2 linked regions of the Drosophila melanogaster genome follow. The protein of the gene in region 1 interacts with the protein of each later gene in a pairwise test. Each region holds a gene or a part of one and is shown in the gene's direction. Other genes may lie near its edges.

What was found.
Region 2: the proteins of ben (region 1) and nopo interact in a two-hybrid assay, tested with the Drosophila melanogaster proteins (2 studies listed by BioGRID).

Annotation. Positions count from the first base shown.
Region 1 is NC_004354.4:13,994,268-14,000,412, forward strand, and holds ben (bendless), read left to right. Parts: upstream 1-2,077; 5' UTR 2,078-2,256; intron 2,257-2,348; exon of another isoform or gene 2,349-2,530; intron 2,531-3,827; 5' UTR 3,828-3,893; coding exon 3,894-4,349; 3' UTR 4,350-5,538; downstream 5,539-6,145. Other genes in the region: Ste12DOR (stellate 12D orphon), read left to right, coding at 5,943-5,953, 6,011-6,145. UniProt on the Drosophila melanogaster protein: Catalyzes the covalent attachment of ubiquitin to other proteins.
Region 2 is NT_033778.4:18,178,964-18,183,221, forward strand, and holds nopo (no poles), read left to right. Parts: upstream 1-1,653; 5' UTR 1,654-1,758; coding exon 1,759-1,874; intron 1,875-1,933; coding exon 1,934-2,149; intron 2,150-2,207; coding exon 2,208-2,561; intron 2,562-2,621; coding exon 2,622-2,679; intron 2,680-2,734; coding exon 2,735-2,854; intron 2,855-2,910; coding exon 2,911-3,114; intron 3,115-3,176; coding exon 3,177-3,416; 3' UTR 3,417-3,556; downstream 3,557-4,258. Other genes in the region: CG5726 (uncharacterized protein), read right to left, coding at 508-869; CG5721 (uncharacterized protein), read right to left, coding at 3,578-4,258.

The DNA of each region.
Region 1 (6,145 bases):
GGAGCAGTGAGTTGTTTAAGTAATAATACTACTTACCAAATTATATTTCCTCTCTGATATGATTATGATAAAATCCCATTCAATTGCAAAATTAAGTTATAGACTTGTCGATTTTGCAACATTTTCATAGTAAAGCAATCGCTCTCCATTTTAGTTAATTTTTCTATCATTTCTCGGTGTTCTGAAAGAGGAAAAAATGCATTGAGGTTTTCTATTCCGATATATGTATGTACATATGTACATAGATACATCTATTATTTCAATGACTTATTGTACGAAAACCAAGAGAATTTCATTATATTCTACCACTAAAGAAGTGGCTATACTAGTCTTTCTTTTTCGACTAAATCTTCACTTTGTAGCAGAACTTTAAAACGTCCTTCGATTTGAATGTCTTCTTACACTCTTCACCTCGTCTTCTCTATCAATTTCTTCTCCCCTTTCCCCCCTCACTTTCTATCACATTCCTTTGAAGATCAGCTGTAGCGGTTAGAATTTGGCCATATCGAGCGTAAAAATACATAGAGGAAGGCACTAAAAACAGCTGCAGCTCAAGAGCGAATAAAGGTCGCCCCCGTTCCGCCCTCTCTTGCTCTTTCATCCCCTCTCGCACCAACCCACACACTTTCACACACACACACACACACGTGCACTGCGTAGGGAAAAGCAGCGCAGTTGCAGCAGAAAAACAGATAAACAGCAAAGCAGAAAAGAGGCAGGTTGCTCTCTCTCGCTCTCACTTGTGGGCTGGACTACAGTCGTTGTTGTTGGTTTGGCCAGCCTAAAAACGGAGATCGCACGTGTGTGTGTGTGTTTGTGTGCGGTGTGTGTAATGCTTATGGCTGTCTTGCTGTTGTTGGTTTTGTTGCCCTTTTGCAGTTGGTGTTTGTTTTTATCTCACACTCGCACACACACATGCAACCGGCCTATGCAATCGAACGAATACGAATGGTAAATAGCATGTGTGTGTGCGAGCGAGAGGTTTCGCTTGTTTTTTTTTGTATTTTAGTTTTCTGCCTTCCGCCTTGTGGTTTTTGTTGTTGCTCATTTCGGCTTCTTGTGCGTCCATTGGGCATTGCATTCGAGGTGTGTGGGTGTGAGTGCAAGTGCGCAGTTGTGTGTGTGTGTTCGGACAGCCTCTCTTTTTAAAAACGCATAAATGTTGATTACAGTAAATTGACAATTTGTTGTTGTTGCTATCTCGCTTTTTGGGTTTATGTTTTTGCACGTGTCTGATTGGAATCCTGTACCGGCTCCTTTTAGACTTGTTAAATAACGAAACCTATGTACAATCATTTTTTTAATCATTAATTTGCTATCGAATAATACTAAAGAAATAAAATTTATTTTAATTTGCATGCAATTTTTTTTTATTATAAGTCTTATTGTGATAAAAGTTTTTGGGAAACACATGGTTATGATGTTAAAAAGAACATAAAACCATATTAATAAGTGCTAATATGCAGTTCAAATATCGCTTTATAAAGTGCTGACATAAATGACCAAATTTCTCGAGAATTTTAGATGTATTTACCTTAGGTATGAAGTTAGGTTACATCTGATGAATATTAAAAATGCAAAGCATTGGTTTTAAGCAACGAAAACAAAGATCAAAGTCGTCGATTAAATAAATCCCGACTAAATTTATTGCTTATTCCCGGGAACTTACACTTTTTGTTACTTCTCTTTCGTGTTTCTTTCAACTGGATTTGTCCCGCCAATTTTCCAATCAAAATTTCTGACAGAAAAAAGCTAAGCGCTCCAAAACCTTGGGTTGTAGCGTGCCGAAGAGCTGATTGCTATGAAACACTGTCCTATTTGACAGCCGCTAAGCGCTAGAGTTGTCACCGAAAATGCGTTTTTACTAGTGCGAACAATAAAATTACCTGCGCAAAAATGGAAAAATGGGATAAAAAACAAGATGAGTAGCAAAGAAAATATTTAAAGATATATTTGTACTGAAATTAAACTGAGAAGGAGGTGCAAACGTGTTGCAAAAAAATTGAATTCACATCTAGGCACCCTAGCAACCCTGTCATTTTGACATTGCCGCTCACACGCACGCCACACAGACGCACGTTAGTCACAGCAACGCACACACACACTACCAAACGGCTACATTTTTTTTCGAGTGTGTTCGACATTCATAATTTTTGTGGTGGAGCTGCCTGCAAAATCGAATTTTATCAGTTTGCCAACGAAGTTATCGGCCATAACTGCAAATAAAGTTCAGCAATAACTTGGCGCTGTTACGATGTGAGTTTGTGTTTTATCGAAAGTTGCATACTTTATCTAAAAACCATTGTTTTTGTCCAAAAATGTTGTAAATGCCCGAAAAAATACCAAAGTGAGAACAACAACAACAACAGCAGCAAAAAAAAAGCAGGAGCAGCAGCAGCAGAAGAAGCAGAGGCAGCAGATAAAATTTAATATAATATCGAAGAAGAGCAAGAAAAAAGCCGTAAAAGTTGATAAATCGAATATATATGTGTGTGTGTGTGAAAAATAATAATTGCGGCGTTCGCACCAAGTATTCGCCGTTTTTTTCTATTAACTTAAATTCGCCAAAAAAGCGGCGTTTGCTTTTCTTCTTTTCTTGACTCGCCCTCTTTGTCTCACCCATCCGCATATTCTCTTTTCGCCTTTGTCTTTTTCGTGCGCGTTGTCTGCATTTTGTCTGTGTGCGTGGGTGCGTGACTCGCTGTGTCTGTGTGTGTGCGTATGCAAGCGAAATTGTTGCTTGTAAAAAAGAAAAATCTTATTTGGTTTTTTTTTTGTAGTTTAATTGCCAACATTATTGATTTTTCAAGCGGTTCACCCCGTTTCTCCCCCTCCGCATTCCTCCTGTCCAATCTGCTTCTTCTTCCTCTGCGGAACTACGTGCATTTGTCACCCAAAAGGGAAATCAATAAGTTGGTAAAACAGCGAAACGCCGCACATTATGGTTAAATTATTGCTGTTTTCGCGTTAATAACGCAATTTCTTTTGTTTGCTTCGAGTGTTTTTCGTTGCTGTTGTTGTTGCTTTCGCAATACAATTTCTGGAAATTTTGGGGCATTCATTTATTGCCTTTTGTTTCTGGTTTATCTGCGTCTTTCTTTCCCCTTCTCCTCTTTATTTTACTTGATTTTCCGTGTGTCTGGGAAATGTAAACAGTTAAAGGAGCCGCAAGGTCACGCTAAAGGAGTTGGCAATAGTGGGTGGGCTTTGACTTACACAAGCAGAAATTTATTTTGAACTTCGCAAAAAGTGTAACGGAAATAAATCCAGAAAATATTGAAAATATTGGTTTACAATATAGTCTAGATATCCAGAATCAAGTTAATAACTTTGAATTCCGTTCATATACTTCAATATAAATATTATTAAGTACTACAATTTGAAAACATCTTTAAATATACAACATATTTTGAATTAGTTTATTTTTTTTTTTAGCCACATAGAGACATCTTTGTGGCATGCTAAATTCTGTAGTAAAACTTTCTTGGGGAAAGTGAAAGCCACGTATCAGACCAAAATCCACCCAACCCTGCACACACGCATCCCCATAAAGAACGACCTTGAGCTGCAAAAAGGAAAATTCTCTTTGACTTGCCACGCTCTTCCCCAAGAAAACCAAGTGAAACTCCAATTTACTAATGCTACTATTTCACCGATACATGTAGTTGAGCCCTTATTTAAATTAGTAATTAGTTTAATTTCACAGTTGAAACCACGACTGTAAACATTAGGGATACTAATTTATAGTCTTAATTAACGTTGAGTGGATAGTGGATGATACCGAGGAACTACTTAATTGGTTAACTTCACTCCGATCTCGTTTGCAGCTCAACGAGAAGGTCCAGACTCAACCCGCGTTTCCAGTTCACCGCGTAAAAGGAACCAGCTAAACGATGTCCAGCCTGCCACGTCGCATCATCAAGGAGACTCAACGTTTGATGCAGGAGCCAGTGCCTGGGATCAATGCCATTCCCGATGAGAACAATGCCCGTTACTTCCATGTGATCGTGACCGGACCGAACGATTCGCCCTTCGAGGGCGGCGTGTTCAAGCTGGAGCTGTTCCTACCGGAGGACTATCCAATGTCAGCGCCCAAAGTGCGCTTCATCACGAAGATCTACCATCCGAACATCGATCGTTTGGGCCGCATTTGCCTCGACGTGCTGAAGGACAAGTGGAGTCCAGCCCTGCAGATCCGGACCATATTGCTATCCATTCAGGCACTGCTCAGTGCACCCAATCCCGACGATCCGCTGGCCAACGATGTGGCTGAGTTGTGGAAGGTCAACGAGGCGGAGGCCATTCGCAATGCCCGCGAGTGGACCCAGAAATATGCCGTCGAAGACTGAACGCCCGAGGTCAGGAGGAAAGTCAGAAAGCGGATCCGTCAGTTGTATCGGCGTTTTTCCAGAAAGTGGGTGCGTGACATGAACGGGCGGGTGGGTAAATTGAATACTTTAAAAGCAACCAGAAAAACCTAAAACATACGAAAGAAAACATAAAATAAGAAAAAAGTAAGGAAGCAAACATAAAAAAAAACGATTTAAGAACACATTTTTTTTTCGAACCTTCTGGGGCGGGATATACATATAAAATATTAATATATATATTTTTTTCAACCAATCGATCGGGGCGATCGGCGAAATGGAGGAGAGATAGCGAAAGCATTCTTTATGTAAGACGTATACATGTATCCGAAACAAACTAAAAACGAAAAAAAAAAAAAAAAAAAAAAACAGTAATTGGTTTTAGTCGTTTCTATTGATTTGTTCGAGGGTTCTGGTGTCTATATACATATAGCCGTATATAATTCTATGTGTAACTGAAATAACCAACCCATAACCATTAACACATGTAGCATCAGATATGATAAATCAATTGGAAAGGCAAACAAGAAGGGATTTTGATTTCCTTTAACTCGTCATTTGAAAACTCGGCTTAAATGTCAATTCAAAATAGAGAATTTTGATTGTATCATTTTCAGTGTTTCAGAAAATTTAAGATGTGATCGTCCAACTTGTAGACTTTACTTTTCTTAACTAAGAGTTCACCATTTCGATTGATACTTGAGCTTTGCCTGGGTTGTGTCAGAGTCCCTTTGATAAACGATAAATAGTTTTTACTCGAAAACAATTTTTTTTAACCAAACAATGAAGCCTTTAAGCTATTAGTAATTTTTGAAAAAAAAAAAAATAAAAAATATATATATAAAAAATATACAAAAATATGATACATGATCAAAATACAATGAATGCATACACTATATATTTATACAAAAAAAATACAAAAAGAAAAACAAAAGTAGTGGCTTGATTGCGTGAAAATTTCAAGTGCAGTTCTCAACAAAAATTGTGTACAGTAATTAAATGTTTGTCACCGAAATCACTAAAGGATAATCCAAAAAACAATAGCAACCGAAAAGCAACCATAAATCAAAGAGTAAGCGAAAATAAAAATTCAGTTTTCTTTAATTTTAATTAATTTTTTTCTAAGAAAAATAAATAAAAACGAAAAATTCAAATAAAAATTATAAAAAATAAACCGAGTTGTGTTTTATTTAAATAGTTAAGTGGTAATATAACTGAATGGTAAGTTTATTAATTAATTTAAGTGTTAAAAAATTACTGAATTTATAGGATTTTGATTTGGATACTATTTATAAATAGTATCAGCCGATGCTGCCTTGTCGAAACAATGACATTTGATTTGTTTTTGGCCCAACTGACACATAAAATATCGTATGCATAACATATTATGAAATAAAAGAACTAATACTTATTATGCCAGCCGAACATAAAACGAATTTTCGAGTCTAGAGTTCCCATCTGGAAGGGCATGACAGAGTCCTGGCAGGCCTTTTAGCACGTGTCAAAAACTCAAAGAAGAAGACGATGACTTTGAAGTCTACAAATCATATTTCTCTGAACAAGTGAACTGGCAACATGTCGAGCTCGTAAGTAACTAGGTTTTTCCTATAGAAATTATAGCAAGTCACAGTAAAATCTTGTAGCCAGAACAACAACAGCAGCTGGATCGATTGGTTCCTCGGGATCAAGGGCAACCAGTTCCTCTGCCGCGTGCCCACCGACTACGTGCAGGATACGTTCAACCAGATGGGCTTGGAGTATTTCAGCGAGATACTGGA
Region 2 (4,258 bases), on another chromosome or scaffold:
AGGTCGCAAAAACTTTTTCGAACCTAAAAATAATGAAGTAAGAAGAAAAGTTTACAAAGTTGCACTTTAAGAACCCAAGGGTTCTTGAACGCGTAAAAACAAATTAACGTTTGAACTTGATTAGTAATTCGGTTTCTGCATTTCAAGCATTTCATTATTGGAATAACTTATAGAATGCTGTAACCTATGGGCGAACGCCACAAGCTCCCAAATTTAACGAATTACTCATGCTACTTGTAATGGAATGTCATAAATATTACAATAAGGATCGGTCTTCGCCAGGCAGATATGTACTGCATGCATTAAGTCTTGTTATCACATGGCTGGCTTTGATGGGCTTGGGAGCTCGCCTTGCCCATATGCTATCGCACCGCACTGTACCTACGCCGGGTATTTACATACATCCATATGTATATGCGAAAAGAGGTGGCAAATAAACACACTACTTATGATATGATTAATCATCAATGAGCGAACCAACCAAACGGTAGAGATCGGCACACATACCAAAGCATAGACTCGTCGCGCACTATGTTGCAGAAGTCCGTTTCGATGGTCTTGATCTTGGAGTTCAGCACAATGCCATCGTCCTGCAGATCAAGGTTCCTCATCAGGGCGATGATGTGGTCGTAGGCATAGCCACCTGTTTGATTTTGATAGGCGGCGGGGCCAGTGTTCAGGATGGTACAAACATCCCGGAGGCGCGCTCCCGTTCCCTCACCACCGCCCCCGCTACCGACACCACTGTGCGAACTGTGACCACTGTCCACCGCACTGTTGTTGTAGCTGTTGTTGCCGTAGGAGGTGGTGTTGCTGCTGCCACCGCCGCCACTGTTGCTGCTGCTGACCATGTTGTTGGCCATTTCCATTTCTCGCCGCGATCACTGCCGTTTGTTGTTGTTATCGCACGGTTGTTTGTCTGTCCCTTCCACACACACTTCAGTGTCTGTTATATTGGTACGCGCGTGTGTGTGAGTCGTCGGTCCACCAAATAAGAATCAGCGTTGACAAAGGTGTCGAAATGCGCACGCCAAATGAAACACCTTTTCGCTCAGCTTCCGCTTTGGGTGCAGGTGCAGTTAGCTCACTGGGACCCACGGTCGATTGAAACGCAAATAACGAACGAAATTAAATGCACAAATTTATAACTATTCCTATTTATTATTGCTATTTGACGACTTTTAAAAGAGGTGGAAAAACATCGATGTGTTGTGTTCTTTAAAACATCGATGTTTCTCCACCTCTAGATAGCATTGTCGCGATATCGAAAGCACACGGTGTGCTTTCGTAAATAGCGCCACAGTGCTCCCGCTGTTATCGATAAGACCACCATGGGGCTAAAGTACGGAGCATAAGTAGCTGGATTTAAGATGGATTGGCAGAATAAAATATGAAATTTATATCCACAGTATATCTTAAGAAGTAGGGTTTAAAAAGTATCCACACATACATATCTTTCTAAAATTTAGGATGAATTTTAGTTTCAGTGGCTGAGTAAGCGTATTTGTAAACATTATTTGTTGTTTCGACTTAAGCCAAGTTAGTTAGCAATTAGTTTGTCGTGGAAATATCTATCAGCTAACAGTTATTGTCTACAATCGATTCTTGACAAATACTGGTGTGGTGAATTCCGCTCATTGGAGCATCGTAAAATCGCCATCAGTCAGCTGTGTTTCGTTGGGCGCGCAAACTGTTCGGCGTGCGTTTATTTGTTGTTCTTTTGTAATAACTATTTTTATGTAGTTATTTGTGCCAAAAATGTTGAACTTAAACTGCGTGATATGCGCCGAATTGTTTGGCCAGGCCGACGAGGTTTTTGCCACAGTTTGTGGTCATATGTTCCACCACAACTGTCTAAATCAATGGCTCGATCGGTAAACAACGCATAAGGATATTTCTGATTCCCGACAATAAAATCAAATATCTTTCGCAGATCAAAGACCTGTCCTCAGTGCCGGAATAAGTGCACTACCCGCAACATATTTAGGGTCTATTTCAATCTGGCCAACTTGGATGTGAGCCACATCGATGTTGGTTCACTGCAGGAGCAGCTGGACAATGCGATGTTGTCCATGAAAATGGTCGAAAAAGAGCGCAACAAGGATGAACAGCAGATTCGGGATCTGAAGGAAACACAAAAGAAGTGCCTGTATGCTTTTGTATACACATTGCCTTAAGTACCAGACTGATGCATTTCTCATTTGCAGCAAAACCATAGCCGGTTTGGAGCAGAAGGTGCAAAAGAAGGATTTTCTCATCAGCAGCTATGTCGAGCAAATTGGCGTCCTCAAGAGTGATGCCCATGTCGTTGATGGGTTGCGCAAGGAAAACAAAACATTGAAATCACAGATCCAGAGTATGGAAGGCATATCGGCTATTCTGGCGGCTGGCTCGGCGGATGCCGACCGCTTGCTCAAGAACGAGGCTGATCCACATGTCCTAGCCAACTGGGTGTCCACTCTCAAGAGGGAGTTGCGACAATGCGAGAGCAAAAAGACGGAGCTCAGGAATGTAGTGAAGGTGGTGCAGAATGATCTGCGAAAGGAGATCGAACTAAAGCGGTATGCTCACAACATTCCAAACGTGGTTTTTATAATTGATATGTGCTCATTCGATTGCAGCAAGCTGGAAGAGCGTGTTTCACACCTGGAGAGCGACCTTTACCAGGCGCAGGAGAAGGTTTGCTGAGCCTTCTTTAACACAATTTCGATTAAACATACTATTATCTTTTCAGCTACAAGCTTTTGAGAACAAGACCGCTTACTTGGACTCACCAAATGCCTCTTGTGGTCTGAACAGCAACATTTTGGCCCTTAAAAGGGAGGAAAGGCGTACCACTATTTCCCCTACAGTTGTGAGTAGACACGAATAAACGAAAATATAAGCTACTAATATTTTGCTGCCCTACAGAAGGAGAATATTAAGCGCATCGAAGAATCCACCTCCCCATATCTCAACATTAAATCCAGCAGCGTCGGGTTGGCGCATCTTCTTAATACTAAGGGTAACATTGGGCTGGCCAAGTCTAAAATATCGCCCATCAAGGGAGTCGGTGGCGGTGTGTCTATGACCAGCGGAACCATACGGAAAACCAGCAGTGATCTCAGTGAAAAGGTAAACGCAATAATTTTGCCGAATTCCACTTAACCATTTAAAAATTCCGTATATTCCCCCAGTATTCAATCTTCAAGAAGCCAAGACTGCTGCTGGGAAGTTCAAGTAGTTCTGCGTTGACGGCCACGACGGGCTCAAATTTTGTCTACAATGGAATGGGCGGTTCTGAGAAGGTTGACCCCTTTGCGCAGCGCGCCGAGGAAGAGGGTCTTTCCACAATCAGATCCTCGACCGCCCTTTCCCGGAATGTCAACCAGCGTCTTAAAGCCGGCTCGCTGCGCAACTTTAACCTGGGCAAATAAGTCCACAGCCATGTGATCATAAGAGACTGCCCCAGTTGGGTATTAGCACGCGATTGGTATTGAGGATTGCCGATTTTGTTAGTTAGCCAATGCATGAATTAAGCAATAGTAATAATTTAGCAGTAAATATATAAAAATACAAAAGGCATATGTGTGTGCGATTAGGCGGCAATTTTTTTCTCCGCCGTGCCCGTCCATTCCTCGCGCAAGTGGACACTACAGCCGAGGTCGCGCAACGCCGCCTTGATGTCCTGCTCCACACTGGGGTGCTCCTTCATTGCCATATTTAGTAGATCCTCAACGCCGAAGGAGATCCAGGTTTCACACTGGTTCCGCGACCGTGACACCATATTGCGGATGGCCCACGCTCCGTTTCGCTGGACTATCTTGTGTTTGGGATGGGCGCGAAGAGCCTCCACGATTACTTCGGCGATGCCGGTATCGAAAAAGGCGGCACTGTGTTCCTGCACTCGGAGTGTCAGAGTAGTCACGCAGGCCAAAGCGGCGGCAACGATGTTTTCATTGGACTGGTGCGTCTCTAGCAATTGCTTTATTATAGGAGCCACGCCCTGCTGTACTATATGTGACTTCACGGAGTCTTGGCCAGCCAGGGCACGTAGCAACTTTAAGGCCTCTCTATTTAGACGCACCTCATCCAAATTCGAACTCATGATCTCGAAGACGGACTTCAGTCCACCAGCCTCGTCGATAGCTGTACAGAGTTCCTGACGCACAGCCAGTGTTCCAATGGTCAGCAGAAGATCAGCCAGAACATTAGGATCCTGATAGGCCGGCAAAAGTTCCACCAAGGTGATGAGCACCTCGCCTGCTATTTGGCGGGC